Alligator mississippiensis: one gene and its partner. The protein of the gene in region 1 binds, or shares a complex with, the protein of each later gene. Links are inferred from orthologs where the notes say so. Each region holds a gene or a part of one and is shown in the gene's direction. Other genes may lie near its edges. The genes, in order: GATB and GATC.

Region 1 (16,405 bases):
TCCACCAGTAGATCTCAGAGCCTCTTGCGGTGGATCCTGGAGCCTCTTGTAGTTGATCCAAGGCTGGGGTGGGGCACTGAGTGCCCATGTGCATTCACGCACACACCCCCAGCCCAGCAGGTCAGTTCATGGGGGAGGGGAGGGGCGGGGGCTAGACCGAGGCCCCTGTGGTGAGGGACAGTGCTGCAGAGGCAGAAGCAGGGGTAAGTTGAGTGGGGCCTTGGCTGGGTGGGACTTATCTGCTAGGGAAACGCACCCCCCCCAATTTTTTTTTGTCCCTCTGCCTTGATCTGCCCTGCCTCTTCCTGCTCCATAGACTTACCTGCTGGGCGGAAGGGATGGCAGCAGTGGCACACAGTAGATCTTGGGTTGCTTTTAAATACTAAAGGTGATCTCCTACTTAAAAAGGTTGGAGACCACTGTTCTTGATGGCATGGTACAAAGTCAGATCTTGTATGACAAAAGAGGAAAACACTAATGACTAGAAGGTACTTCATCCGTGTATTAGACAATTTCATGTACGTCTGTCCAAAAGAGCAGTTATGCCCCTGTTGTTGCTTCAGTATTTTAACCTATTACTAAATTTCTATTTTAGAAATGCAGTAAGTAATAACCAAATCATGCCCTCAGTGCTTGGTACATGACACAGCCTTCCACTATACAGTTGACACAGCATCCTAGTCTAGAATTAAGGTCGAGCAATAGCTGCTTTTGGTAAAGAATGGTAAAACAATGAGTGATCAAGTGAGTGGCAGAGTATTTCTTCTCCTCATAAGACTAAGTGTATTGTTGAAAATGCTGGTGAGACCCCTCTAGTGACCACACCAATGTACTTCTGGTCTGCACAGTAACAAGGCAAGTATATAAAGAGCGTAGATCTGGGATTGGCAACCTTCTGCCACTGTAAACCACTTGCTTGTGACCCAGCTGCTGCTGTGTGCCACACCCCTAAAGCCCTTCCAACCCCCCCCCCCCCCGAGATTAGTAGATGCCACAAAGAGAATAGATAGAATAAAGGCAAGCAATAGGGCTATAGAGGTGCCACTGCCTCCCTTGCTGTAGCAGTGAAAATAAACAGAATACAGCAGGTAGTAAGACCCCAGCAATAACTCCTCTGTGCCCCAGGCTGGAGTGTGCTGCTGATTCCCTGAGATGCCGTGGGTCCAATCCCATCTCTTCACAGGCTAGATCTGGCCTATGGGCCATGGGTTGTGGGCCTCTGGTATAGATTAAAAGCTGTCTTACAAGAAAAGCCTAACAATGACAATATATACCATTAGCACTACTCAGACTATTAGGGTTAGCATCAGGAGATGATAAGGGAAGATATTACAATAAGTACAAGCTATTACCACTATTATAAACTTTAATGGTTTCAGAGGAGAGACAAGGGGAGAAAAAGAGAAGAGGGACATAGGAGAAAATTAATAGGGTTGGTCTCTGATGTCTCTTTGGCCTAGAAATAATCTTGGTAATGTTAAAACAGGATATTAAAAGCTGACTCTTTAGCTCCTGCTTTTGCAGCAGTTTTGGGACCAATCCTGCAGATTTTTTTTCATGCAAACTCTCACTGAAGTCCCTGGGAGTTTTTTGTGACAAACCTTCTCACACAGAGAAATTGTGTTGTGTGAGCTACCTTGAATTGAATTCTTTGCACACACTGCAGTACTTTGTAAAGCAAGGAGGAAATATAAACTTCAAAGATTATCCAATTTATTAAAATTTAATGATCCATCATTCTGATATTGCAAAGCAGGCAACATCTCTTATATGTCTGGCTTCAGATTGCAATTTACTAATCAGTTAGTAGAGCTGAAACTCTTCATTCCCATAGCAATTATTGATTGATAGGTTAATAAAAATTTCTTCACAGACAATCTCACTCCCATAATTGGAGGCTTAAGGGCAAATCTGAGATCATGTAAGAAGTAAGAACACTTAATCCTCCTTTCCTTCCTCCCTTTAAAATAAAAGAAAGAGTTATCCCAGTAAGATATATTTTATGTGCTGGTATATAACTTTTACATGACTGGTGTTCCCAAGGCAGCATAATATTTAATACTTTCTATAAATAATAAAAATGGAAAACAGATGTACTTTGATACTATATGTAAAAAATACCACACTAAAGCCAATAGTAATGATAACAAGGTACAGACAGTGAAATCTGGCCTCAGACAAGTTAACAGCTTCAGTGGGGCCAAAATACCAGAGAAGAGCTTTTACCTGTAGGTCACCAGTTCAAAACTAATCCAAGAAACTACAAAATTTCTGTCAGTACATCTGATGGCTACTCATATTATGTGAAATTAATCTATTGCCTGTGGACAGCAGTTCTCACCCACAGAACACGCCACTCTCTGAAGTAGTTGACAGATTCTCCAAACAGGTCAAGAAGAATGAAAAATCCTTTCAATTTTAGATATGTCCATTAAATTCAATGAATAAGTACATTAGTAGCACAATCTTATATCTCATAGCTGCTGTTCTTTGTGCTATACTTAAAACAAAAGTTCTCATTCTTCAGGTGTGTTGAAAACTGGACATGATCACTCAATTCATGCAAGTAACTTCAGCACATACTCCTCTACACAATAAATTAGATTAAACATGCCCATATACTAGAGCCATGGAGCAGGCACTTACCAAGATTGGAAACATACAAGCCTTTCTGCATCTGCATGAAAATTATACCTGTTCATCTAATTTATATTTCATTTTTACCACACTTACTGCTTTGGTATCTGAACACCTGATTCTGGTTTTGGGAGAACCAAAACTGTGAAATGGAAGAGAAGCATCAAGGCGTATAGTAAAAGGCAGCAACTTCTTTTTGCTGTTTCCAGGAGAAAGTATTATTTGCACTTCTTGATTGGAATGCCCATGCTACCATTATCAGAAAGCTTGTCAATACACTATAAATAGATAATGCCATATAAATAAAGTTTCCTGAAACTTATCAGAGGAAATGAGCAAAAGCAGAAGGCAAATTTTATTTTGTGTAATGTACTGAAGGTATTATAAGAACCTAAGTATACTTCATGGGCACCTAAATGATTTAAGAGTCCAATGGTGAAGATAGAGACCAACTGAATTAATTGGTAAGACTCCTGTCGACTTCACTAGAATCAGGATCTCTTTTTTGAGCTCACTGAGGAGATGCACCTAAGGCAGCATATACCCATAAATACATAAAGCAAAGGCTCAAAATACTATGATAAATTTATACACATAAAATTATAGGAGGTACAGAACAATCATGATAGATACAAAAGTTCTTCAAAATAAAAATTACTCTAGTTTTTTGGAACAATACCAAGGTGCAGGTTGTCAGGCAGGAAAAAGGGGGAAAGCTGGGATGAGGTTATCTCACTTCAGTAAGTGGAAACTTCAGTCAGAACCTACTGGATTAATCTTCAGATTTGTTTCTCTTTTCCTTCATTTATTTTATTGCACTACTAGCACAACAAAACTTAATCAGAAAGTTCCATCTGGTCACCAGTTTTAATTCGTATTTCTTATTGCTTCAGAAAATTAAAAGCAATTCTCTACACTGAGTAAAGTAAAGGCAACCCAAGCAGCACTGTTCTAAAGCTCTAGAGTATCATTTTCTTTTATAATGTAACCTCTTTGAGCTGCTTGTAACCTATAAATAATCCTGCATTTTAAAGAAATCCTTCTATGAAAAGCAGAATTCCTGATGGAATTTAACACTTGAGACTATTTTTAAAGTGTTTTTGATTAAAAAATTAATTTTAGACTAAAATAATACCATTATTATAACAGGCTTACTGAAAGTATTATGTTGCTTAACAACTCTGTCAAACAATTCCTTCACTTATTTCATATGAGATAAAGTCAATAATAATTGGAGATTCTGTTGATTATTAATGCTGTGTCCCACTACAGGGAAAACCCTTTGATGTGTATTTCTAGGTTCACTGGAATTTTGCCTCTTAAACAAACTTAGTATTGGTCTTTGTGTCTATTTTTTTCCTTGGGTGAGGCTGTCAACTGGAATCTTCAAATTGAAATGACCACATGAAACTGAAACCCTAAACAATTTCAGATAATATTGGGATGGACAATTTATATTACAAACAGAGTTTGGATGGGATGGCTTGTCTGAAAATAAACGGTTATGTTAACCTGCAAGCCTGTGTTACACTGGCTTTAGAAACACTGAAAGATTAGGACTTAGATATGTACCTCATACAAAAGACCTTAGGTTTTCCCTTATATCCAGGGGTGAAGGGAGAAAGTTCTTGCTCTAGGCCTGTGTTAGGTGAAACCATATGCAGTTGAAATTTTATATCTCTGACCTTATATATGAAGTCATAGATAGTTTGAAACAAGAGTTGTAACAAGAGTTGTTGCTCTTAATTTAGGAAATATCAGGCCTCAGACATAGCAACCCAATAACAGCTCTTTGCAATTTTGGCTGAAAATAACAGGGGAAAACACAAGGAGGCAAAAATACTAGCAAAAACTGAGAAGAGAGGAGAAAAGAGCTATCTGCTAAATCCTTCTACACTTCTCCTTTCTCCACCCCACAAGAAGGGAAACAGCAAATAAGGAATGGAAAGACATTATCAAAGGACATTTTTATGCAGATGCCAATGAAATGGAAAGTACTATACTGATCAGTGCTTTTATCTATTGAAACACCGTGAGTCATTTTCTTCTGTGCGTGTCTTCAACAATGTCATCTGTATGAGGCTCAAAAACAAATCAATGGTTTTTTCTGCTGCAATCTGGCCATTTTGCCAATTGTCTCTGCTATATCAATATGTAAATCCCATTACTTTAGAAGTGAGGTAAAATATAAAGTTGGGTGACTGCTCCTTGGTAAACTGTAGAATACCTACACATAAACCTGATATGCTTCCTAAATTACAGTACCTGCTTTAGTTCAAAGCCCTTTAAGATGGTGTACAGTATAATGGGACTAATGCCAAAGGGTGTGATCACCAAGAAAGTGATACCATTGGTTTCCTGCTACAGAGAATTGACAGGCAACTGAAAATCATGGCCAAAGTAGTACAGGCTTATGGTGTGAAGACGAGAGCATGCTGTGTTTTTGGGAGGTCAGTTCCCAATAACACAGAATCAAATTCAGCTCAGCAGTGTTGCTAAAAAAATATACCCACAATACTTGAATACCATTCTAGAAGGCAAGAAGTTTGCTTCTAGTTGGTTAGCAGAGGCACTAGGATTAGAAGTGGTTGAAGTTCCACTACTGTGGAATGAAATCAGTGGAGCTACACCTACTTACACAGTGTTGACTGTGCCCTGGGGGGACTTGTCTGAAGATTTCCACAGGTCCAATGAGTACAACAGTAACTCTGCCCTAGCTGACTGACCTGAAACATAAGAAGGGCATTGTGTCAGAGTGGATTATCTTCTAAGGGCATCAGATATTATTTTCCAACCTCAGGGCCACATACGATTCAAATTGCAGGTGCAAAAACCTATTAAAAACAGCACACCTAGATAATTTAACAAAACAAAGACAATGACATTTCAAACAAAGTTAAATCATCCCCAAAATCAAAATCTATTATCTCTATCTATTATCTCTGTCTCTTGATGTTTGAAATGTAAAGGTCAGCATAGAACACCTGCAATATGGGGCTAAGGATCTCACTGGCACAGGACACAGCCCAAGAAAACTCTCTGGCTCAGTTTCTGCCATTTTTTTATTGCTAGATTAATACAGTCTTTAATGAAAGACCACCCTGAGGCCACCCACACACTTAAACAACAACATGCAAGTACAGAACTGATAGATAATATACGGCAACCATTTTAGCTTAAGTTGATCATCTGCTGGGGTCAAAAAGAAACTTCCCTTTCTCCTTCCATTTCACTAATAAGATAATGGCAAATTGGTTAGATGTATTTTTTTATTTATATTTTGTTCCTATCTTCAGAAGCTTTAGTAAAGGCCTGGTCTGGTATAGAAAACCAGTTGAAAACTGCAGAAAATGAGGAAAATATTTTTATATATACCTGTAGAGAAAACAGCATTCAAGATACAGAGGTAATTTTAGGGGATCTAAAAGCCTGAAAATATTCCTTTACCATAGTTATCTTCCAAACACAGTAATCCTAGTTATTCTTCCCTGTAGAACAGTGATTATCAACCAAAGTGTTGCAGCACGCTGGAGTGCTGCAAGATCCTTCAAACGGTGCTGTACAATATTACCACTATTAGGTGTACAAACTTAGCATAAACACCTAGCATAACATCCACATCTGATTCACAAAATAAACCCAGAGATCTCAAATAGTACTGTCATCCATAGTGTCAAAAACATTCAAACCTGTTTTGGTCTTTGAGTTCTCTGCAACAGAAGAATCGTTCTATTTTTAACATGGTCAAAAAAATGAGTGAAAGCTAAGATTTGGCACTTTCTAAAGGGTGCCTGGAGTCTAAAAAGGTTGAGAACCACTAATGTAAGGACATTATTTTATCTGGCCGACTAGGTCTCTACTCTGCTGACAGCCACACCCTTCATGTTAAAAACCAACAAAAGTTTTTGTCTGTCCCTTATTACACATGCTGAAATAAGATACTACAGTCAGCCTGTGAGCAATCCAACAAAACACCCCATGTCTGAATACCCCACTCCCTGATATGCTACAGGGAGATCTCGCAGTTCACAAAAAGGGATAAGAATGCATGCTAAACATAGCTTACAAGAAAGCAGAATTTAGAGATCTCTGACCCTATACACTGAAATTTAGGAGGATCTTCTTTCAAGTGGGACAAAGAAGAGTGTGCCTTGCTTAGATGATACATAAATATAGGGCTTTTGTCTTGCATGAAATTCCAATTTACTCTTAGGTATCCAGTGCATTTCTATATCAATAAGAAACTTGATTTCACAGCAAACTCCCCTTTATACCTGCCTTCTTCAATAGAGAAGTCTACACAGTTAGTCCAGATCCACTGTCATGCATGTCTTTATGCAACTCCAGCAATTCCAAGGCACAGCATAATCTATAAACACATTGTAAATTGAATGCTACTGCCCAAAGCACAAAGAAACAAATAAGAATTCCTTTACCTCAAAGTAATCTGCTGGGAAAGACAATCATGCCTTGCTTGTCTGCAATTGATCAACATCCTGTAACTGTGAGAGTAAGCTTTCATCTACTATTTGGTCATTGGAACAGAGCATTACAGAAGTTTTTTTTTATGGGATTATTTTTGGAAGCCATTTGCTATGGCATGGGGGGTCAGCAATATAAACATGGGGCCTTTTTCAATCTTACTTACCCTTCCAGGGAAGGGAGATGTTTGGGGATGGAAGATATGTACCCTCTTCAGTTTCTTATATATTCCTCTTTTTTTCAAGTATGCAATTAAAGGGCAGAATCCAGTAAGATCCTATAAGAGTAGGACTCTGCCTAATGTGCTGTTAATATTTATAAGCTTTTAACTTATTACTACTTATTTCAGAAATGTTTTATTACATCATAATACCAGGCTTTGAAACAAGTCCAGTAATCCAAAATTTAGCATTTTCACACCAGTATGTACTTAAGCCACATTCTGAAACCATACCAAAAACCTGCTGATTTGATGTACTGATGCCTCCAAAGTACCAAAGAATAATAAAATCCAGAAGAGTTCATGAAGGCAATTGTTAAAGAAACCTGATGCAAGGATAACATCTATACACAACAGCTTCAGCCTATCGGGAGCTCTGACTAGGAAGACTGTGCTCTGTTAAGCCAAAGGGAGTCCAGGTGGATACAAGGAGGCTAACAACACAAAGCTTCCTACACAGTCAAGACCTAACCACCTCTTTAAAATGAAGCCAGTGAGCAAAACAGTACTATAAAGGTGATGCCAGCAATCTGGGATTTCAGTTAAGTGCACAGAGAGATTTAAATTGCCTATGACTGTGGATGATGGCTGCAGTGGTTACCTGTGGTAGGTTAGGGTGCTGTATCTTGTGTTGCATCAGTTAGCCGTAGTCTTATGAAGAGTTTAGATCAGTGGTGCCCAAAACTTATTCCACTTTGGGCAATGAAGAAAGGACAATGTTGAGAGTGTCCATGGACCAAATCCAAATCTGATCTGGCTGCGCAGGGTGGGGCAGAGGGAGTGTGGCCTGCCCCATGCAGCTGGGGGGCGGGGGGTTAAGGGTGTGGCCCAGCCCTAATCCAGTTGTGCTGGTGGAGAAAGGGGCAAAACCCAGCCCCAATCCCACCACACTGTGGGGAGAAGGGGGCACAGCCCAGCCACAATCTGGCCATGCTGGGGGAGAAGGGGACATGCCCCAGCTCACAGGGTTTGGGAATCTGGCAGCAAGGGAGGGGAGGCAGCATTACTTGCACCACTCCACCCGCCACAAGACTTCTGAACCTGTGGGGAGCTTCACAGGTCAGACACATTTGGCCCACATGCCAGAGATTGAGCTCCTGTGTTTTAAATGATAGGCTGTACGGGACAGTTTGGAAAGGGATGATCCTGCCTCAGGCAGAGGGTTGGACTAGATGACCTTTGAAGGTCCCTCCCAGCCTGACTTCTCTGGGGTTTTTATGAACAGCCTGTCCTGTTCCCTAGAGCTGCCAGCCTCCTCCAGGCCCTGGATCAACTCCATTCAACGTTATCTTGTGACTGGCACATGTCAGTGAAATGCCGGTGCTAAATCACTTCCCCCTTGATCCCAGTCTACTAGAGAGCAGCAAACAGCGTTGCCAGGTCTTAAAGATGAAATTATCATACTGGAAACTCAAAATGATCATATCTGCTGAAAAACTATGCTATGCTGAAAGAATATGCAAATAAGTCTTTTTCTTAATTTACTGTCTCTTGCTTCTTGTAAGAAGCCAGTGAGTGAGAACTGGGTCATCAAAGTTGAAGTGCTTCTTTATTTGGAGGCAAACAGTCATCATAAGAAAGGGCTGACAGCACACCCAGAAGTCAGCTAAGAACCCCGCCCCCCCCCCAGCAGGACTTGGGTTTTGCATGTGCTGCATCAGCAAGCTGCCTCGAAAATGATGGTTTAAAAGCTTGCTTAATAATTGATCTCCAACTATTTAGTTGGTCTAATAAAAGATATCAGATTCACCCAAAGAACCTTGTATGCCTATGTCCTTAGACAAACACGGCTACAGCCTACACCCCTCAAAAATGATGGTACATTTTAAACACTTACTAATACTGGTTGTACATTGTATAAGGGTGGAGATTATTGTACAAGTACGATCATTACAGTCCACCTAGCAACCCTGGGAGCAAAGTTCTCTGCCCAAAATCACTTATGTGGCCTTTTCTGTGGCTTTTGCACTTCCCTGACCAGAAAAGAGGCTCTGGCCTGGGGTCCCCTCCCGCCCATGGGGCCTCTCCCAGGCCCTCATGCGTTGCCCTCTCCTGGCAGTTTCATAGCGCAGAGCCCACGGGCTCCTTAGCCTCGCTGGCGAGCCCGTGGATGCTGGCCCGCGCCCCAGCCCGTCTTCTCCCTCGCCGCCCACGTGTTGGCTTCCCTGGGGGGGCGGGGCACGCTTCACACGCCTGCCACAAACGTGCTCCTCCCCCACACGCCCCTGCGGCCGTTACTGGCAAACTGAAGCGTCATCACCATAGCAAACCTCTCCCCCAGCGGACCGCGGAACAAGCGCGCTGGAGCCAACCCGAGGGCGGTGCTGGGGTCACATGATCCCCGCCCAAGCTGGTCAACATGGCGGCTCCCGTGAGTGGCGGCGGCCGCCTTTGTCGGCTGGCCTGGCGCCGCCGGGCAGGAGCTTTGCACAGCGGGGCGCAGCCCGCGGCGCTCGGCCGGGAGCCGGGGAAGGTTGCGGCGGCGCAGAGCGGGTAGGGCCCGGGGCGGCCGGGCGGGGAGGGCGAGGCCTGTCTACTTGGGGCGCTCCTACAAACTCCCCCGTCGGCCTACGTCAGGACTCACGTCGCCCGCCGTAGGGGGTGCCCCTGCAGAGTTCCCCTCCCCCCTGCCGCGTTCTGCCCTAGCCGCGCCGCCTACGTCAGAGTCCACGTGACCTGGCCCAGCTCCCCCGCCCACGGGTTCCCCCCCGCCCCGTCCCCCTGCAGCTGCTGGGAGAGCTGGTGCTGGGGGGCTGTGGCTTTATTTTGGTTTTACATTTAATTTCTGGGCTATTAACACTTGTCATTTATTGTATCCAGCACATACTTCATCATATACCCAGCCACCCCCAGTTGCCCTCTTTTTTGGAACTGGAAATATGGTAACTAGGGTTGCCAGCTCTGACTGAAACTATTCTGGGAGATTTTTTTCTTCCCAACATGATGTAATGTTATTAATTGATTTAATTTTCTTTAAATCTCCTATTTAAAATCTCCTGGAATTCATTAAGTAGTCACTGGGAGATCAGTGCTGATTCCAGTAGACTCCCAGCCAATCCAGCAGGGTTGGCAACCCTAATGGTAGCCCTACCTGATTGCTAAGCCTAAACCATCACCAGCCCCAAGGGATACTAGACCTCAGGAAAAAAAACTATTAGTGAACGATGATTTAATGCAGACTGATTTTGAAGGTATCCAGGTTGTAGCTGTATTGATCTAGAGGCAAAAGGAATCAAAACTCATGGAAGAGGTGATATATTTTATTAGACCACTTAGATACTTGCAAACCAGCTAGATATTGGCTGGGATGATCTAGTTGGGGATGGTCCTGCTTTGGGGAGTTGGACTACATGACCTCCTGAGCTCCCTTCCAACCCTCACTTTCTATGAGTCAAACAAATTGTTTTATTTTTTTGCAAGCTGTTGGGCGCACACACCCTTCATCAGGCATAGGAGAGAGCAGAAATTGTAAAAGTTCTCCTAGGTAGAAATGAAAATTCATATTTTACAGGAGAGCTGAAGGTGTGGTAAAATCTATTTGGAATAGTTAATTTTGTCCAGGCACAGAGAGAGGCTGAAAAAGTCTTTTTACCTCAGAGTTGTCTGGGGACAAGCAGAATGTAGAAGCATATTTCTGCTGGTCTTGCTGCCCAAGTGCAGGGGGCCTGGACCCGACAATCTGTAAGGTCCCTTCCAGCCCCTAAAATTTATGAAACTATGAAAGAATGCTTAGCCTTAACAATTTGGAAATTGAACAGTGGCACAGGAAAGAGTGAGGGGGGAAAAAAATGAAACCAGAGGAGAGATGAAGGAATCGGTTATCTTTAGAACTTAGTAAGAGAAAAGGTGAAGAGAGAACAAAACGTTCAGGAACCAAATCAAAAAGCAAAGCGCTGATTTGTTTGAAAAGTTTGGGGCTGTTTGACATCTACGTGAAAGAAAAGCAGCTGAAAGACTGTATGAGTAGTAGATTGTAGTCGGTAGACACAAAGAACTTAAATGCTGGAAAGTTGTCGTTGGTTTTGGACAACAGCTTAAAAGGATTCCCCTAAATCAGGAAGTGAAAAGATAGGTCTGAGCTCCAGATCAGTGTCCATGATTTCTGTTGCTAGTTCAGAAGCTTCATGCCATACTATAGTAACTACTTCAAGACCTGACTTCTAGGGGAGGGGGGAAGCCCCCAGCCTTGCCAGCACCCAAAACTAGGGGCTATTACATGAGACTTCTGGCTGTGGACCCCAGCTAAGGATGACAGTCATAGGTCTGTAGGCATCACCTGGAGCCTAGTGCAGTGGGTGAAAGCCCCAAAAAGGCCATCGGGAGTTTTGGTGCCCTTTTGAGGGTGTTGACAGGACAGCAGTCTGGTGCACCTGTGGAAAACCCTCATACCCCCATGGAAGCCAAGGCTTTGATCTGCATGGATCTGAACACAAGATCAAGGGATTCATGTGGGACACTTTGAAGATTGTGCTTAGGAAGGAGAAGAGCTTTAAAGGAGTTGGTTGTGCAGGGAAAATTAGGCCAAACTTTAGATTTTGGTAGAAAAAGAGCCTGGTCTACACATGTGACATTTGTCCCATGCCATGGCAGAAATAGTTTCTAATTGGTTATTCAATAAACGTTGGAAACGGAACATTGCACTTGTATAGCTGGAATCAACTAAGGATGTGCCATAACCACAAACTAAACTGATTAGCTCTGCGTCTGAGCTACAATCAGGCCCCAGAATGGAGGGGCAGATGCAGTCTAAATCTCTACCGACTTGTAATGCCAGAAGGGCCATCTAAGCATTTTTGGACTGAGAATCTTGCCACTTTCTAGTGTACTCTGATCAGCAGCGAAGTAATTTAGCATTGATATTTAAATTGTCATAAGAGATTTATGCAGATTCCAAGTTAATTTTGAATGCAAGCTCTCCATATTTATCAGAGTTGTTCTTTCAGGCCCTCTGCAGACTCTGGCAATCATCAGTGCATTGTTTTATGCTTGCTTTATACTTTGGAGACTTTTCTTTCGAACTATAATAGCTAAATTCTTATTATTTTTAAAATGAAAACTGAAGCTCTGGTGCATAAGATTACAGCCATCACAAAAAAGTACCTGCTGATTGAGTCACCATGAGTGAATCCAGTATGAATTGTGGAAATGCAGAAAGAAAACACTTACTTATGCACGTGCTTAATTTCACTGGCCCTGCGTTTCATTTGTTTAACTGGTTTCCAGTTGATTTAATTGGAGTCATTGTGGTGACTCCTGGTAGCAAAGCTTTAAAAAGTTTGCATAAGTTTTTGAAGGATTGAGGACAGTTACTTTAAATATTCTAATAGGTCTGCAGTTGAAAACTAGATAAGGCTCTTCATTTTTTAAAATGTAATTTTATATGGTTCCAGTCAGCATACACAAGCAAAAATGGTTGTAGAAGACTTTATTTGAATGCCTGAAAGTCCTACATGATAGTATCTGCCTTCCTTTAATGAGTGATTTATATAGGATATGCTTGATTAAGTTTTGGTGATCTGTAGTGATGTCCTCAGCTATTGGAGGACAGACACAGAATTCAAGTCTTGGCAAGTAAAAATTGCATTGTGTTCACCTTTGAAAGAAACACTATATTTGATATATTTGTTTAATGTTTTTCCATAGCCCACTTATCTGTTATAACTATCTTGGTACTTATATTTGCTGAAGTGTCCTGCCATAGAAATGTGATTTCACCACTGAAATATTATTTGTGTCACTGCATTCGTACAAGGCCAGATAATTACTTACAGAAACCGTCGAGCCATTCATACTGTAAAGGTGACCTCTTTCTCTTGTCCATATAAAGGTTATGGATGTGAGAATTGCAATTACTTTTCAGATGATATGGAGAAGCTTTATCTGTAGAGCATGTTCAAAGAGCAGTCACTCTCCAGTTGAAATGATGATTTCTCTATTACCAGACTACTAATGTTTATGCTAATCTGGTACTAACATTGCTCTGGAGAGCCACCTTTCCCAGCATGCTAGTGACTAGCTGACAATGTGTACATAATTTAATATGCCACCTGTTTGTTGGAGACTTATCAAACTAGTTGAGAAGCAGTTGATATTTATGATGATTTCATAATTTCCATGGGGTACGAAATTGGGGGGTTGTGCAGTATGTTCCTTCACATTGCTTATTTCAGTGCAGCTTTTCATGGAAAAGTTTTCAGATTCATACATTTATTCTCATCTACTTAAATCATCTTTAATGTGTACATAATAAAAACACTTGGCCGCACTATTTGCCTCAAGATTTATAAGATTATAGATTATAAAAGATGTAGATTAGTCTGTGGCCTCCAATGCAGCAGCATAGGACCACAACACACTATTAAGTGGCAAGGTTTTTTTTGTTATTTTGTCTTGTATAAATTTTCCTAGTTATTAATGGAGTGATGCACACTAATTATATGTTATTTCTCCTCTTTTTCAGTGTTGCTCCCTGGAGAGCAGTGGTGGGTCTGGAAGTTCATGCACAGATCAGTTCCAACTCCAAGATTTTCTCTGGCTCCCAAGTGCAGTTTACAGCACCCCCTAACTCTTTGGTATCTTTTTTTGATGCTTCTCTACCAGGAACCTTACCAGTAAGTTGCATTTAACCTTACCTTCTCTTACAACAGAATCTTAACAATTTTGCTGAGCAGATTTCTCAAGGCACAATTTTTATCTTTCCTTGTTCATAAGAGTTTAAATCTAGCCCTGTTCTTGAATTTATCTGCCTGAAGCTCCTACTTGGTAACTTTAGATCTTTATTTTAATATTCTTTGAGTAATGTATGTTGTAGTTGTGTAACCACAGACCTCTGAAAATTCCTGATAAGGAAGTAATGCAGGATTAAGGGTAAAAATTTTATGAGCCCAGAATGAGTGTATTTGCAGGGTAATGTTGATTGATGTTTGTTGGTTATACTGTATTTAGTTAGTAAGCAGCACTAGAAGTTCCTTAAATATTTGGAGGTATTAAAATCCTACAAAAGATGAGCATGTTAGATTGTCAAGCAGCTATTGCCATTACTTTGCCTTATGTGTTTTCATGTAGCTGTCATTTACTGTTTGGAATGCCTCAGAGTTGTTTTTTGAAGCAAAACCTATCTGATTTGGAAAACTGTAAACCGTTCTTATTTTTTATTTATATTATGCTATAAATATTCATAACACTTTACAGAGTAGTAAAAGAGGGATTATGGAGATAACTCTTAGTCCTAAGAATTTATTAGTGGCAACATAATTCTTTTTTAGTTTAAAGTCTCATTTGAATTTTTCAGTATGATTTTTCTCTAAGGTGACCATGACAGTAATTCTTGTGAGTACTTGCACATTGTAAAGCTCTTGGGGATCCTTTTTGGAGAGAGGTGCCATATAAATGTAAAGTATTATGTATACAAATTTGATGTGTTTGAAAAAGTAACTATTGAATGGGCTTATTCATACATCAAGTATATTCTGTTGTGGTCTTTGTAAACGAGTATCAGTGGAGTCAAACTATTTAAAGCAGAAGTGCTTCACTGACTGACTTCATTGGAAGTCAAACCTGAATTTCTTTTATTGTCCTATTTGAACACTTTCTTCTCTGAAAAAGAACAGTAGGTGGGATTTTTTAAATTGGGTATAAACCTCTGGAAAGGCACGTAGGATTTTGGGGGAATCCAAACCATGTGGAAAACACCTTGGGGAGCTTGAGAACAGAAATGTGACTTCAGTTACAAAGTAAAAGGTATTATGAAAAGTAAAAGTACTTGTGGAAGTATTAGAAGGTGGATGGGGGTGGTATAGTTTATATTAGATTATTGGATTGGTGGTAAATTCCAGGGAGATGTCACAGTATAATGAGAACTACCCCAAGGGAGGGTTAAATTCTTATGAATACACTGTTTTCAAAAGATTTCTGGTATCTTGTATGGAACTGATGAGAGCAACTGTTTTCAGGAGATGTTGGTGGTACTGAATTGGAAAATAAATTCCTTTTTAATTTTGAATCTAGTACATAGCCAAAAACCAGGAAGGCAGGATTAGAGCATGGGTTTTATGTCTGTCTACCCTTCCTTTCTACTGTCATTTTTGCTGTGGTTTAAGTTCAAGGTTCTGGTTTTGGCCCATCTAGTTAATACTTGGTCAGTGAATGGAAATCAAATCACCTAATGCATATATTGAATCAAATTGGAAGTTGCCCAGGAAGAAAAAAAAATAGGCCAAAGCATGGTGGAATTATAGTTCATGGAGGGTTTTCTGGCTCTATATGTCTTTGTTAAATAAAAATATCTTTTTCCTCGAGATTTGTTTTCAGTCTCATTTTTGCTCTTTATAAAAGGGGCTGGCTCTTGCTTTCATGAGTGTTCCCTAGCGGAAAATCATGGGCTTCACCAGCTACAGACTTTGGTGGAGAAGATAACTGCACCTGATTAACAAAGAACCTGATGATTAGATTAATAAAAAATTAGTGATACTGCTCTTGTTTGCTTCCTTCAACTGCTTTTATCTGTATGGGAGGGGGGGGATCCTAGTCCAAATACAATGAGGGCAGAGTTGAATATGAATATTTAAAATTTTCTTGTACTTGTTGGTAAGACTGTAGTATGGAGCCCATTCTTTATGTAAGCTTTGTTTTCCCACAGCATTCACTACATCAGCCAAGACTGATCTTTGTTTTGGCATCGGAGGACTGATTTGTTTAGGCATGTGCATTAGAAATATCTGGAGAGTGATAGGAAATGATATTTTTGCAAATCTTCTAAATAATTTTAGACCAAAATTTGTACCTTTCTTAAAGTTGTATTATTTTGCTGGAATAAGTCTCTAGGATCTCAGTAACTAATATTTCCTTTGAACTCTTGCTATTTTGCAGAGAAACTAATAAGAAAAGCAATATTTTAGTAGAACTGGGAAAACACAATATTTGTGCTGCGTCTGCAGCAGAGGATAACTACAGTAATAAATGTTGTTCTGAGAACTGTAGTGACAGTTATCGGAATCACAGGGATTTAAATTTATGGAGAGATCATCCGACAGTAGCAAAGGAGGACCATCTGTGTATTACTGTGCC
Region 2 (16,383 bases), on another chromosome or scaffold:
GGGAACTCCAGTAGGTGGCTAAGCTCTGAAGTTGAGCACTGATCACTACAATTCTTAAGCTTGCTTTGTGTGCTTAGCCCCATATAACCAAATCTTTCAAAAAAAAAAAAAAAAGGAAACCCTAAGCAGACTGTGGCTAATGAATCATTTTGCCAACCGTAATATTGTTCAGTTTGAAATCCACTGTTAAGTGTACAGGGTACTTATCAGCAGAAAGTGGGTGGTTATATAGGGAATTATAAAATAGAAAGAAGGCTTTCACTGTTTTAAAAGTAACAGACTAGCATTGACCAGAAAAATTGTCTAAGCAGTTCTGTCAGAACATGCCACTTAAAATAAATCTAATTCTTGAGCATAGATAAGCAAAGCTTTGTAGAAGTTGCTTTTGAAACAACAGTTTTTTTTCTGTATGTAAACCGTGAAACTTCATTTTGAGACTGCTTCCAAAGTTTTTAAAAATGATAGGTTGTTATGCAGAACTTCCCATTTTGTAACGAGATTAATATAAAATGAGGCTCCATCTCATTTTACTAACACTTCCTGAAATGTTGTTCTAACAAGTGTGATTTTGAAACTCTCTCTAATGTTGCCCATCCTCAGTATCCTGTTTCTCTCCTTGCTAGCTCGAACATGGAAGCTCCTGACCTTTTTTGTTGCTTTGCCTGGTGTGGCAGTCTGCATGTTGAACTGCTACTTAAAGGCGCAGCACAAGCATGAGAGACCAGAGTTCATTCCTTATCCTCACCTCCGTATCAGGACCAAGGTATGTGCAGCAGTATGGCCCAGACAATTACTTCCTCAAATCACTTAGTATGGTTCTATTGTCAGCCACCCTGCCTTTTGTCTGCTGCTGAAAGACAAGGAACCATCTTTGCATTTGTAAGGTTTCAAGTGTTCACACTTCCTGTGAGGTGGGTTGTGAGCTTTTAAGATCTCATCCAAGACATTTTTGTAAATGGACATATCTAATTTTCATTTTCTTGAGAGTGAATTTGATGCATCATCAAAACAATTTTGCTCTTAAATAGCACATCTCTCTGATCTTAAGCTAGACTTAAATTAATGAATAAGGACAAAGACTGGACCAGAGTTATCAATGTGGGGGTTATACAGGCATAGGAGTTGCAACTACGTTGAAGTAAGAGGGTTGCCTTGTGAGTGAGAGAATCCCTGAAATAGTGGTTAGCATCTGTCCATCCATAGGAAACTTGTTGAAAGGGTAAAAATACTAGCAGGTTCTAATTCTCATTCTACTGTTACACTTCTATGCAGAATGGATTCATACTAAGCTGCCTCTAATGCGTAGTTGTCTTTGATATACTGACTCAAACTCATTCCTACAAATACATTCTTGTGACTGCTCTTTGCACATCTCTGCATTGCAAGTTTGTTTGTCTTTTTTACCTTTTAGATGGTGACTTATCCAAGCACCCCAGACTTAAACTGAAGCTCCATTTTGTGCTTTTATTGTTTCTGTTCTAGCATAAATGACAGGTGTGAGGTCTGCATCAGTTGGCTCATTCACTACCCTTTCAGTTGCATAATGTTCTTGAGCCTGGCTTTACTACCTTTTACAGGTGTTATTTTCTTGTACCTTAGCATTTCTGTCAAGCAATTACCAAGCAATTTTTAATACATTTCTTCTTTTAACAGCCCTTCCCTTGGGGAGATGGGAACAAAAGTCTATTCCACAACCCGCATGTCAATCCTCTCCCAACTGGCTATGAAGATGATCACTAAAGATGTGGACCACAGCAACTTGAGCTACTGATATATTCTGACCAGAACATTTGTATGGGACCTTTCATCTAAACAATTATTCTGCATTCCTGTACTGTAAGGTTATAAATGACATTCTGACCCCTTGTACTGCACCTGTACAAGAGGTCACCTTAAATAAATAATTCCACTTGGATTTCTGTGTGAATCTTGTGAAAAGTCTTGCTCTAGTTTCTACCCATCTAGACAGTCTTATTGTTAATACGTCTTTCAGGTAAAAGGTTTTCAACTTTTAAGCAAGAGCATAATGGGCTTAAATGCTGCTGCTTTGTTTTTTAAGCAGACCCTTACTTACTGCAGGCTTCTGCTTTATCATTATTGACTCTAACAGATGAGTGGAAGATGCATGCAAGCATCAAGATCTTTAGCATGGTTAAGTTTCAGATTAAATTAATTCAATTTGAGGTCTGTCTAATTGACCTTGTTCCCAAAGCCATAATGTATGTTTTACTGATTTGGTTGGTATGGAAAGATTTCTTGAGACCACCAAAGGGCAGGAATATTACTAAAATAAAAACATGAAATCTATTCTAGCAAAGAAGCTTGCACCGATCCATCTATTCCAGTGTTCCTGATGCTCCAAATTGTATACCAGACATATAGGGAATAACAGATCTATCAACAAGACTTGGTCCCATTAATTAATGTTTTACTTTAGAAATCCTGTGCAGCATCTCCAATGACCTGAGATGTTAAACCTGTCAGAGAACCAGAGGGAGATGCATCTTTGTTAAGAGGAGGGAGGGGTGGGGGTGGGCTGAACAGGAAATAAGACCTGTAGTTAGTAGCAGGGAGAAAAATTGTTGAGAAGGGAGCATGTGGAATATAGCTGTCCAGTTGGAGCCTAAGATACAAAATCATATACTGTAGGGCTCCATATGGCATTTTTCTTCTGTAAAAGTGAAGCAAAGGTGTTTGTTTCTTCCTTTAGATTTCCAGTAACACAATCTCTTTATAGAAACTTGATGGACTAGAGGCCTTTTATGAACTTAATACCATGTTTGCCCAGATCCAAGATGACCTGCTCTCGTTCCTCTCCCCCCTACCCCAATTAATTATATGCGTAGAAAATTGTAAATCTATCAGTATTTTTCTACATATAGAACTTAATTAGTGGAAGATCATCTTAAATGCATCCTCTGCACTGCTGTGGTAGTGGGGTGAGGGACAAGATGCCTACCCCCTTCCCTACTTTCTGCTACAGTTCTGATCCTTCAGGGAAGCTGGCAACAGGAGTAGCATCAGCAGCCAGCCTGGTCAGGGAACAGTGGCAGTTCCAGGCAGTGAGGTTGGGGAGCTGGAGCAAAAGGTAGAGGGGTGAGGGGCAGGTAAAGGTGGGGAGGTAAAGAAGTGGTCCCCTATCCATTCCCTAGTCTCCCCTGTACTCACACCATTAAGTGAACCATTCAAATCTGGGGTAGGCTGAGCTATCATCTGCCCTGGGCTCTGTTCCCCTCCCATGTATGAAAAGTATGTTTTGTTACAAGGAAAACACTTTTTTATGTTCATGTATCAATGCTTATTTTGTCTCCAAATACCCTCTGTTGCATTTTTCTTTCATGCTGTTCCTAGAATCAGAAGAAATGGGGAATTCTAAGAAGCCCACGTAAGAAGATGCAGTTTTCCCTATCTCAACTTTACAGGATTTAATTCATACCCTTTATTACAGCTCAACAAAGCAATTTTGGCCAATTACATGAGGCAGCCTAAATAAACTATCCCCTGTATTAAAGCACATCTAAGGCGCTGTCTGGTGGAGCTGGTTTTCAGGCACTACAATTCCTTGTTTTCCTCCTACACAAGCTTCAGTAAAATGGAGTGAAGTTGCAAGCACAGGTGACCCTTAATAAAGGAATGTTAGTTGCATATCTCAAACCACCTTAATTCTGTTCCTGCAACAATGTCAACTTTCATCCTTCCCCATCTCTGCCGGAAGAATCAAAGTGCTGTATGGAAAAACTGGTAATGGTTAGCTTTACCTTAACACAGCATTCGGTTTTTCTTCTGAGAATCATTCATCTAGTCTGTGTGCTTAACCGGGGTACTATAAGATCATTCTAAAGGTGCTGCACAATATTAGCACTGTTAGATGTGCAAACACCTACATGTTATTCACCAGAGAAAGCCAGAAATTTGAAACAAGAATCCAAAGTAAAAAATGCTCTTTTATGGTCTTCCTGCGGTCAAAAGCTGTCGTCGTTTTCCTGAGTTCCTTGCCCAGAAAGAATTGCTGTTATTTTTTTGTATCAAAAAATGAGTGAAATCTAAAAGCTGCCATTTTCCAAGGGCTGCCTTAAGTCTAAATTTAGATTTAGATAAGGAAAAAAGCCAGCTCTGCTTCTAATAACACTCTGGGTGGGATTCAATTATTAGATGGCATTTTACAGGGTCAGGTTCCCAAAGAACTAAATGCTTGGTGAAGATTCTAGGAATGATTAACTCCGCTATGCCATGTGTGGTGTCAGCAGTTCAGTCTTTTGGATACTGTGTGCAGTTATACAGCAACAAATGTTTTAGGCCAATCTCAATTCTAAAGGTCATGGCTAGCTACATACACTCTTAAATAAGAATTCAACAGTTGCAGAGCACTGCTATTCAGCAGAGGAAAAATCAAGACAAGATCAACTGCAACCTTAACTTCTACTTTCTGGAAGATGTGTTGTTTGTTCTAAGTACTTTTAATGGCACTGAGTACTTATTCCCCATGTTGCAGAGATACTACTATGACTTTCTGACTTTTAAAGCTATTGAAAAGACTGGGAGAAGAGGGGAATTTTATTCCTGTGATCCTAGAGCAGTTTACAGCTACAGACCCTAAGAACCCGTCTCCTGTAAAACACCATTGTCTGGAGATACTGTGCTTACAGCCTTCTATGGCATCTCATAACAGAACTCCATCCCTGCAAGTCTCATTAATTGAGTACGGCACTCCTGCTCTTGAACCTAGGAAGGCACAATGGAGTACAGCTGGTCTCTTGCTAACTGTATTCCCAAAGAACCAACACTGTTTTGAGCTCTGAAAGAAAACAAAAAAGGATTTATCAGGTTGGGCTTTGCCCTCTAGCCTTTGACTCCATATTCCCCTCACAATCCAGCAGCCCCTTATCTTCACCCTAGCGTTCTTGAGGGTAAAAGACTCAGCTCTTTTATTGAACTGGCTGGGAATTTTCCCTTTTGCAAACTTCAATGTCCACATGAAGGGAAAGAATGACCCCTGATTTGGGCCCCTCAAACCCCCAAATCCCTTGCCTTTTCAGTTCCTCCGACTGAACAAAAGCAAGAAAAAGCCACTTTCTTAAGGGATCTTGTAGGATATTCAGTGAGTTGAAAAAGGTAGAACTTACTCCTAATAGACCTCATGTCTGCATAAGGAAATAGCTATCAGAAAGCTGACGGGGAAAAATTCTTTCCTTATGAGAGGTCTCTAGCCACTTATATTACAATTCACAGGTTAGTTCTAAAGATTAGTGATGGTACTTGCAGAAAAAAAGATATTAAGCTTACATCTCTAGCAATCCTTTGCCCAAAGTATTTCAAAATCTAAGTCGAGTAACTCTTAAAAAAAAAAAGAGAGACTAAACTACTAAATTTGGGTGCTGGACATGCCTTAGGTAGTCCTATCTTGATGTGCTTTTTCTTCTTCTTCCTTCAGATTTTTCTTCTGGCTCCAAAGTAGCAAGAAGTCTCTACTGAAAGAAAAGCAATACAGATGCCCTTATCCAATCATAGTTTACGTGAAGCCTAATCTAGTAACTAGGGTCAGTCTGGCACTTTTATGGTATAGCATGGAAAGGTGTAAAGGATACTGACTAAGCATGCACTGCAACTTTACTCTCGAAGCTGGAATCACTTGCTAGTAGACAGCAGTAACATATTATCAGTGCTTTGAGTGAGGCTACTGAGCATAACTCCTCAAGTCGGTGTTTCTCCCCTGTGGCAGGTTGCCTTCGGCCTTTCTTGAAGGCCAAAGTCAGGTTTAACTACACCCCTGCATCCTTTAGTTAAGTATAACTTGACCTGACCAGGTTACATTCTTCATTGCATATATCCAAACACTGCAGACCCAATGGTGGTAGCATTTAAAACACTGCTATAATTAAACGGATGAGAGGCAAGGCTGTAGCCCATAATATTTAGTAAAACAAAGATCAGTCAAGATGTAGCCCACTAAAATTTGGCAGCATGCACCTCTTCATGTTCATCTTAACACTGGAAATTGTCTAATATATAAATAAGAAACAGAAACCAATCCTAACAAGCATTCCTCAGTTCAGAGTACATTTGTTTAGGAAGTTAAATGAAGGGTTTTTCACACTGCAGAACGTAATGCTCATTTCAATGCTCATTTCAAATGGAACAGTAATTGCCACACAGCTCAGCATTAAAAAACTGCACAGAAGACTCCTTGCTTTTTAAAAAACCAGACAGAAGCAGCAGCTGATTTAAAGCCACCTTCCCATCAGCTGTCCTCTAGTCTTTTGTAAGATGATTTTTTTGAGCCCAAAGATCAAGCTAATGGTTCTGTGTGGTCCAACTGAAGTCATGAGGAGTTTTCAGCTTTTCCTTTGCTGGGGCCCATGAATTCCAGCCCTTCAATGGGGATGTCCTTCTCCTTAATAGCTTTCTAGGAGGAAAAAAGAAGCAAATATTTTATACATCTTTTGCTGTGAAGACTTTCTTGGTGCCTGATGTGATTTAAGACCACTCTGCTCTAGCTCAAGTTGGTATTAAGGCTTCCAAGCTGGACCAAAGAAAGTCTGAGAGTTCCTGCTAAATCAGTACTAAACTGCAGCCTAGACCCTCACTCATCTCTCATCCACACTCCTTCCCGCTACCATCTCAGTAAAAGGGCAAATTCTACTTAGTAAGGGAAAGAAAGCAAGCTGAGGGACTCTCTGAAGAAGTCACAGTGCTGGAAGCAGAAAAAACAAAAACAGACGTGAATGAAGGATTTGTGGAGGACTAGATTTTAGATTTACAGCACCATTGGAGGAATAGAACTCTTTTGCTGAAGGAAAGAAATTAACGAAGTGGTTCTTAACCAAAAGGGAAAAGAGAATGCACATTATGAAGAATGAAAGAATGAAATGTAAGGAAACAGCAAAAGAAGGCACACAAGTGGAAACAATAAATTTTGTAAAATTAAATGTCTAAAAATCCCCAAAGGGACACTCAAAGACTCTCAGTGAACTGTGCGGTCAGCCCCTTCTACCTGCGTTGGAAATCATTAAGGAATGATGGCTCAGGTGTTTGGCCCCTTACAGGGTGTGGGTCCTGCTGATGAGCTGATACTGCAAAATGAGCAAACATGGTCTCACATATATTGAGGAGGTTCTGTAAGAGGTGGTAATGCTTCTTTAGACTAGCTTGGAAAGGTTGCTCCTTTGTGAAGTTTTAGCCTGTCAAAAAGCTTATATGACTCTAAATCCAAATCAGCTCACTATGGGCATTATATAATACAGCCCTACAGGTCATCGTGGCTTCACAGTGAGGTAGTGCTGCAAATAAAAACATCCTACTGAGGTCTGTGCCATGCCGGGCAGCTCCTCATCTGGTGTTTTGTCTCAAGGAAATGAAACACTTGAGAGTTTGTAAAGAAGGAGAAGCGATGCTGGGCTATGGCCAGGTGAGAAACAGACACAAGGGATGTTTTTGAAGAGGAAACATTTGAGAAGACAAGAGGAGCCCGTGCTGCCACCGCAGACGTTACCACGGTGTCAACGAGCGACCCGCCAGCTCTCGCACGGCATTTCTTCTCCCGGCGGCGCCCGGGCCCCGGGGTCCGTCTCCCCGCCAGCACGCCGAGCGCAGGAGCAGCAGCGGGCACAGGCTAAGAGGGTTTAATCATCTCCCCGGCTCGCGGGTGCTAGCAACAGGCCCGGGGCCCCTTCCTCTGCACCGGCCTCGCGCGACGCGACGAGGCTTCCCTACAGGGGAAGGGCGGGAGGCGGGTCTCGCACGCGGGCGCGGCGCCCACCTGCACGCAGAGCTGGTAGCGCTTGAAAAGCTGCACGCAGGGGTCCCCCGCGCTCTCGCCCTTGAGGAACTTCTCAGCGAACCAGCGGTTGAAGCACTGGTCGTACTCGCGCTTCAGCTCCGTGCAGGCCTCGCCCACGCTGTTCATGGCGGAACCTCCGCCGCCTGAGGGGCGGGCCTCGCCGTGACGTACTTCCCGCCCGGCGCGGTTGGATGACGTATTTCCACCGCGCGGCTCCTCTGCCGGGCCGGGATGTGGGCGCTGCGGGGCTGCCGCTGCCTTCGCGCCGCCTGGTCGTGGGGCGGGAGCCGCCTGGCGCGGGGAGCGACCGGCGGCCGGCAGGTGGCTGCCAGCGCCGGGGCTGGTCACGTGCTGTCGTACCCCATGGGCTGGGGGCGGGAGGTTTTGCCTGGGGGGCGCCTGGCGCCGACTTCCTTAGAAGCGAGAGCCCGGCAGGGGCAGCGCTGAGGGCGAGGGCTGAGCCCAGGCCCGGGGTTGTTGATTTCTCGGGCTCCAGCTGCACCGGGCATCCCGGGACTGGGTGCGAGCGCGCGAAGGCTGGCGGGGGCCGCGATCTCCTTGCTCCGTTTCTTGGTCCGATTCGATGCCTTCCACCTTCTCTCAGGGGAATTTCTCCCTCAATGTGGAGTCAATTAAACCTACTGTAAAAATCCCCAGCGGGTGGAGACTCGTCCTTCCCGGGGCCTGTAAGCAGCACGGAGCCATTGGGCAGGAGGCAGCAGTGATTTGCACCTTGTAGATCAGGGCTTGCCAACGTTTTTGGGCAGAGTGCCCCAAACACCCATAAACTCGACCTGAAAGATATTGGTGTGCCAGGGGCAGATAGCGGGGCCCGTGAGGCAGCGCAGCCCTGGCCCCTTCCCTGCCATCCACCCTAAGGCACATGTGCCAAGCAAAATGCTTTTGATTGCTGCACTCTGGCACCTGTGGTGGCAGGCACTGCCTACCCCTTGTTGTAGACTAACAAAAGTGTGCGTGCGCACATATATACTATCTACTTTGGTTAGTCTGTTTTCATCTACCCTGCCTTATATTTATCATGGCCTATCTCTTGCACTTTAGATTGATCAGAATCCAGAATGGCAGCTAGAGGAACAGAAACCGCTTCCTCAGGTATAATGAATCTATCAACATATGTACATTTAGTCCAGGCCAGTCTGTTTCTGCTAAATGATCACTGCAAATCTGAGACCGAGTAATAGAGGAATTCCTAATATCCTCTGGTCAAGACTCAGGATAGTTTATCTAGCTTTATGTTTATTCATTCTGCCTATCCTAACTCATCCCCATATGGTAGTCTTAATACAGGACCTAGACATGTGACTTCTTTTTTTCCCCCTTTCTCAAAGAAAAAAGTAACCATGGAGTTGCTTGATCATCTGGAACGACTGGCACTAGTTGATTTTCGCAATTGGGAGGGCGTAGAGCGGCTGGAGAAAGCAATTCAATTTGCTGATCAACTTCATGAGGTTAACACAGAAGGGATAGAGCCAATGGATTCGGTACTTGAGAACAGGTAAAAAATTATGGTTAGTGACTGTTTTAACTACTAGTTTTCCAAAGAAATGCTGCAGTAAATTTTGATAATTTTTTTGCCACTAATCATGCTAAATATGAAGTTGGCTGGTCCTCCACAAAATCCTTTATTTTAGGTCAGGTGTTTTTTTCTTTTGGGAGGGGTAGAGGAGTGTCTACAGTGTCCCTAAACTTGGAATATAAACACAAGGCTGTACACAGATTTCTTAATGTTCTTATGTAGACCATTCATGTTAGAAATATCCTGTATTACAAATGCAAAATCATTGTAAATCACTCCTGAATGTTCTTGCACCTGGTGTCTGCACCCCGAACAGTTTCAGGGACCGTTTATATAAACAATGCCTTCTCTGTATTAGTTTCTTTAGCAGCTTCAGTTCATCAAGAAACCAGATTTTCTGCATGCTTATATGAAAAAATGTGTTTCACTCAGCTCAATATAGAGTAGGGCTGATAATGTTAAGCACTAGGCCAACTGCTGTATTTATTTCTTCAGAGAACTCAGGACATGGTATTGCTCATTTCAGGAAAGCTCAGTAAGTGGCAACAACACATGTGCCTGGTCAAATGTAAAGCTTGACCTGAACAATGGGACTGGTGGAAGCGTGTTACCCAGCTGCCAGGGATCTCCCAGCAAGACCTAAATTCAAGATGCAACTAGCATATTTTAGTATGACAAGTTTTGAAGGCACTTCCTTCCGATTCTAGAGCATGACTTTGCATCCTGTATCAGACTCTCTAAAGCACAGTTGGCAAAGTAGGTCATTTGGAAAAAGAACATTAAGTTTCCTGTGCTCCCCAGGTGTCTGTATCTCAGAGGAGATAACATCACAGAAGGCAACTGCACCAAGGAGCTGCTACAAAATGCCAGCCAGACAGCAGAAGAATATTTTGAAGCTCCACCAGGTAGAGTTCTGTTACAGATGATGCTAAATGGGACTTGATACCTGCCCTGATTTTTAAGAAGTATTAACCTGTCAGTTAATTCACTTCTGTGTATACTGAATGGTGGTAAACATGTACTGAACTAGGATGATAGCCACAGTCACTTGTTAAGATAGAGAGGGATGGGACCCTAGCTCATTATTACTTAGTGGCACTGCAGAAGTTATGGCTTTATATTTACACCTAATGTTGCTTATGCAGACTCTTTACAAAAGGCAGCTTTTTGTAAACTCAAGTGCAGCTTTTTTGCAGGGGAAAACCTAGTCACTGGTAAGTGTTTAAGCCACAAGGACAAACATGCGAGTTGCAGCAATATTATTCAGGAAACTAGCAGGCTGTCTCATACTCTCATTATCTGTTTCCTATTAGGTAACATCCCTCTACCAAAGTTAGAAGAGCGTGAGAGCTTCCTGCAGGACTCCAACTGAAAAGCTTGGGCCAGAATGCCATACTGGTTCTTTCAGCAGTATGCTGTTGGGGACAATTAATCTTATGTAGCTACAGCTGATGTTACATTATCCCAAGAACAACACCCACACACGAGTACTGATTCTTTCTGCTGCTCCTCTTTACAATATTTTATTTCTATCAAAGGGTTTGTTTGGATTATTTTAAAATATACACATGAAGGTGGAAGGTGTTAAGCCACTTTCAAAATAGAAATATGGCCTCAATACTGTTTGCTTAGTCTGCATTTGGTAGGGCTGAAGTGTCAACCTGGAGAACATCAAACAAGTTCAGTACTCTAGATACATCTGCATATCACAGCCTTGATGACAAGGGAAACTAGGACTATCCAACTTTTCTGTCAAGTTATGAGAGGGGCTGGAGAAGAAGTTAGGTACTGCAGCTTTGTAAGAACCTAATTCACTTAAACTATTTTTTACTTCCTGGCTTAGCTCTGATTAGAGGTCTAATCAGGAAAAGAAACCCTCAAAGTTCAGTACAGTAGAACAGGTACTGTTGAGGGAACTTCTGCTAGATTAAAAAAGCATTTAGAGAAAACGCTATTTTTACCATATGCCTTCATCTCTCTCAGCTCTGACTAGTCTTACATTTGTATATATACTGCTTTCCATGTATAGCTTTGTGGAATGCTATGCTAATATGCCAGATTCCTACATTTACACTTAAGTAAGGCATATAGAGTTTGTTTATACATACAAGTGATTTTTTTTGATGTAAAGTTGAATGCCCTGCCCAGAAAGGCCAGTGGAAAACACTTATTGTGAGAGGCCATTTGACCATCCATATGCATTGATTAAACTGAAGTTCTGGCTGCTTTCTGATCATCGTAACCAGAGATCCTGGTTTTCTCTGATTTAAAAAAAAAATGCAAACCAAAAAACAAACCAACAACCCAATTTTCAGGTTAAAAAAGGAACCCAAAATCCACATTTTTCTGTGATCAAAATGAAACACCACTACATATATATCCATATATTACTGCCGTTTCATTTTGATCACAGTTAAATGTGGATTTTGGGTTACTACTTTAACCTGAAAGTTAGGTTGTTTGGTTTTTTTTTAAATCAGTGAGAACCTGACCATAACACTGTGATGGCCTGGTGTATAATAAAGCAGTAGAGAACTTTGTTCCAAGCAAACACAGTTGTAGTAGTGCTAGTAGTTTGTTTTCAGTGGTAAAATCACTTATAAGGGGAATGAAAGGTGCTATAAGCAGTGCATTTATTTCTCCTGCTGAAACTTTCTAGTGTGACAGAGCCTGCCTTAAATAAATGTGCTACACTTAGACATGCACAATAGCCTTTGTGATGTCAGAACACATTTTAGGAACTGAAGCAGTTCAGCAACCTTAAAAGGTGCAAATAGATGCCATTAGCAGAAAGCTAACAGATGCCTTTGCTGTTCTCAGTAATGTACCTAGTAGAAACTAGACTGGAACCTGACCAGTGTTCTATCCTCAGCAATTTGGGCAAATCACTTTCTCCACCTTGGAAGTGACAGTGATGCTGTCTTGTTTATAAATTGCTTTGAGATGCAAGGAAAGCAGTAGTTGTAGGCCTGCACTGAGTAGTGTGACAGTTAGATGCAATTCTTTTTTCTACCATTTATCTGAAACTGAAGTCAGTAGCTTTTTCTGTACTGTAGTTGAGTTATTTATAAACCAAATTAGATTATTACAAGCATAGAGAATGCTTGGTTGATGTGTTTAACCCCCCCCCCCCAAAAAAAACCCAAACAAACAAACCAAACCCACCAAACAAACACGGAAACCTGCAACTAACAAGCTACTTAGCAGCATTCTAATTGCTATCTTCTTTTTCTCTTAATGCAGTAAGCTTTCCCTCTTTTGAAATAGGATTAGTTTCTCTGAAAAGAAAATGTCTTCAGGCACTGTTTTTCCCTCTGCTACCCTAGACTGCATAATTTTGCTACTGAAAACTGTTCTCCCTTCTTAAGCAGATGGGTACCCAGTGGGCATGGGACAGAGCTTGCAATCCACTCCCACCTCTTTTTAATACAATCCTCACATAAAAGACAACCACCACTGGTGAGTTACTAAAACATTTAAATATATTTCTACACAACAGGCTGAGCTGTACAGTCACTCCATTACTGTTTAGCACCATCCTGCAGGCCAGGAGATAACTGCACAAGTTTTTGAGTTTACTTTTCCTCAGCTAGAAGGGAAAAAATAAACCCTTGACATGTTTTCAAACAAAACACCAAAATGAAACCGCAACTTTTCAAAGTGTTGCCAACATTGCCCTAGTAAGAACTGTAAATCATAAAAAAAAGATTTTTATTGAATAAAAAAAACGAGTTCCTACGAAAAACTATCCATCAGTTTTGGAATGTAAATTCCGAGCAGAAAGAAGCTCAGTTCACATTTTAAGAAGTCCCTGTTGTTGGATGCAATCAGTATGGCCTGAAGGGGGAGGAGTACCGTGGTGATCCCCTGCTTTGGTATGGAGAATCACGACCCCTTGACCCAGAACGGGACCGTGAGTAGCCATAGCTGGAAATTCTTTCAGGACAGACTCTGATATAGGAAGTTTCACCCTGAAATTTAAACAGAAGAAAACCCAATTTTTTTATACTGCATCCTGATTAACAGTTCTTCACTAGTATGAACAACACCAAATGGAGCCTAGGACCAATACATAAATAAACAAAGATTCTACTAAGTTCAACTGCTGCTCAGGACAAACTGCTCTGATACTTGATGCTTATGGAGGAAAGCATACTTTATAAAATATTGCACCTGTACTAGCAAGGAATATCTTGTTAGCTATCATCCTCGTCTCTAAAGGGCAGAGACTCAACAGCTGGAACAGGAAACCCTGAACAAGTTCCTCCTAGTTCAATCAAATGGTAGAAAGCTGGTCTGACTGGAGGTGAAGGAATGGACAAACTCCATCCTTAAATGCTGGAGGATAGTAGCTATAGAAGCCAATACGATCCTTTAGCACAGTACGGAGAGGCCAAGCCCTGGTCACAATCATGTACCAGTAGGGGAATCTCCACAGCAAATACTCAACCTTCAACTGCCAGAGATGGTTGAAGCAGAACAACTCAGCCACTGGAAAAGGTGGATACAGTGAAGTAGCACAGCTCTAAGAACAAGACAGCTGTGACTTACTAGTTTAGACATCAGAACCTTACAGAGATTGCCACAAAATGATGCTCCATGCTGGGGAGGAAAAAAGACAGCCATAGCAACCTGTACAGATGCTTACCAGCTCATCCTTTGGGAGAATGAGGAAGTTTGCTCCAGCTGCGAGTGGTGAGCTGAGCTCACTTACTTGAAAGAAGGCTTTGAGCTACTAAGCCCTTAAGAAGTATACAAAAGCAAGCTGGCAGCAAGCAGTCCAAACCCTTTGCTTCCACACAAAGGATGTACCAAACAGAACTCATGTTTTTCACAAACAGGCTCGTGTGCGCCTTGTCCTTCCGGTTATGTATTTAAAAATATCCAAAATTAGATTTCCTCCATGTGCTGTCAGACCATAATATACTGAGCCACTGTGAGGTATGTTTCACAAATGCTAAACCTCTCAAAATTATTGAAGTGTGTTACAATTAATCACCAGCTCCAAGGTTCTGCTGTTACGTCTCTTGAGAGCAGCATGGCACGGAAAGAAATGTATGCTTCTCCATGACTGCATACACACATGCTCTTCCCCTGAAGGCACGAACCCACCTCATGAGATCGGAATTTGGTGTCATCCAGTTTACGCAGTGCGTACTCCATATCTTCCTTACGGAGAAATTCAACTATACCCATTCCATCTTTCTGTACATCTGCATAACAAACATCACCAGCTTCACGCATGTGATCCTTCAGGTCCTGCCAACTGCCTGATGGAGGAAGCCCTGAGCATGGAGAACACAAAACATAACAGACCATGTAAACTAGAAAGCCATCTACTCTGGTTGAGCCAGATACGTTGACCCTGCCATGCCAGGGGCTCCATCACTTCCATATGCTTTCTCACTCTTCCTGAGGTTGAACACTGCAATGAGAACACAGGAATCCAAGAATGCTAAGTTCCATTCCAGAAAACAAGTAGCTGAGTCCTCCAAAATTGGTGATCAGTCTCTCTGGAATTCAAAGTGCTGAGAGTTCAGAAGTATCCGCTCTTTTTGCTGCCGCAAAGTAACTTAAATCTACCCCTCAACCCAGTACATTTGAAATGAAGATTCTGTTCAAAAGTAGATTATTACTTTTTAAAAGAGTTACTCAACCTCCATTTCCCATCCAGGACAGGCTGGTCCCCTTCATATCAGAAATTAATTTTCATCCTGAGATTCCAGCAGCTCATTCTCCAGTCATGAGTAAAACTTTCTGGAGTTAAGCTTGTAACCAGCAGCAAATTTCCCATGTGAAGACGAAGGATGAGGTTTCCCGAGCATGCACTGGAAAATCCAGTGTGCTATGGGGCCTGGTATTTTTAAGGAATGCTTTATAGTGCCTTTTAGCACAGAAGATTTCCATAATGGTCATAGTTACAGTTATTCTCCTCTGCCCTCACTCTTGAAGAGGAGGTGTACTCTCTGTTTCAATGATTAGGGTACCAATCCTTCTAGGGTGCCAAAGGTATTTTATTGGAGTAGTTTCCACACAGGGAATTCTTATCGCTAGAAAGTTACAGGGGCAAGCAGAGAAATGAGAATTTAGCAACTTGTATTTTGACATGATGCATGGGTACAAGCACTGGCAGCAGGAGGGCTTGTTTGTTTGTTTTTTTAATTAAAGGACTGATTCCTTTTAAAAATTCAGTAAGTGCTGAATTTCACTTTGTATTTTTGATCTGCACTGCAGACCTTTCTAGTCCCTCCTGCAAATAGCCCTCTCCACCCATATGTCCTATGACAACTCACTACCTGGATGGCCTTTCCAAGTTGTTTAAAATAGATCCCACTGGTTGTTGATTGAGGAGGGCTCCCATCCTAGGTCCCTTAGAGTCATTCTCTCCAATAATGAGTAGATTGTGTGGAGCTGCTGAGACGTAGATCAGTTTAATACATATTTTTTTAAACAAACAAAACGTCAGAGTCTATCTGAGCATCATTTGCTCTAACAAATCCTTTTTGTTTAATGATGGGATTTGTTGGAAACAGTTCCACCTAGCTCCAAAACATTTTCTTCATAGAGAAATGGTGCCCAAGTTCTTCTCCCTCCCTTTGCCTACCTACCCACTCACAATATGCTGGCTCTCTTCAGAATCCAAGGCTGAGGTCACATCTGGATCTGTGAAGACATTTCTGCTCACCATTCACTTAATATGAGCTCCAAAAGATACGACTCTTTTATGAATCAAACCAGACAGGATTTTCTGTCCTTTACCAGCAGTGGGACACTCCTTTATAGGAAGACGTTCATATTATAAGAAAAACTTTAAATCAGCAGAGCAATATGAGAACTTCTTTCTCCCCAGGACAGGGATACAATGCAAAATAGTCTCAAGTGTGGAATACAACTTACCTGAAACAAGAACTCGAAATTCAGAACGTCGTGATGGAGGGCCATTCCTTCCCCGGGGTCCTCCACCAAAATCTCCACCCCGTCCTCTGTATGATCTAGGGAACTCAACACGCAATCGACACTCTCCATAATCATACCCATTTCTCCCATAAACTGCATCTTCTGCATCTCT

What was found.
Region 2: GATB (region 1) and GATC share a complex: the UniProt entries of both Homo sapiens proteins name them as parts of the heterotrimeric GatCAB amidotransferase (AdT) complex. The link is inferred for Alligator mississippiensis from reciprocal best matches to the Homo sapiens genes GATB and GATC.

What each region holds. Positions count from the first base shown.
Region 1 is NC_081825.1:96,833,733-96,850,137, forward strand, and holds the start of GATB (glutamyl-tRNA(Gln) amidotransferase subunit B, mitochondrial), read left to right. Parts: upstream 1-9,622; 5' UTR 9,623-9,698; coding exon 9,699-9,832; intron 9,833-13,799; coding exon 13,800-13,950; intron 13,951-16,405. UniProt on the Homo sapiens protein: Allows the formation of correctly charged Gln-tRNA(Gln) through the transamidation of misacylated Glu-tRNA(Gln) in the mitochondria. The reaction takes place in the presence of glutamine and ATP through an activated gamma-phospho-Glu-tRNA(Gln).
Region 2 is NC_081833.1:20,951,082-20,967,464, reverse strand, and holds GATC (glutamyl-tRNA(Gln) amidotransferase subunit C, mitochondrial), read left to right. Parts: upstream 1-7,968; 5' UTR 7,969-8,008; coding exon 8,009-8,098; intron 8,099-8,839; coding exon 8,840-8,890; intron 8,891-9,126; coding exon 9,127-9,293; intron 9,294-10,115; coding exon 10,116-10,219; intron 10,220-10,627; coding exon 10,628-10,686; 3' UTR 10,687-10,932; downstream 10,933-16,383. Other genes in the region: cytochrome c oxidase subunit 6A1, mitochondrial, read left to right, coding at 624-763, 1,654-1,740; TRIAP1 (TP53-regulated inhibitor of apoptosis 1), read right to left, coding at 6,320-6,403, 7,757-7,903; SRSF9 (serine/arginine-rich splicing factor 9), read right to left, coding at 13,142-13,285, 14,427-14,599, 16,212-16,381. UniProt on the Homo sapiens protein: Allows the formation of correctly charged Gln-tRNA(Gln) through the transamidation of misacylated Glu-tRNA(Gln) in the mitochondria. The reaction takes place in the presence of glutamine and ATP through an activated gamma-phospho-Glu-tRNA(Gln).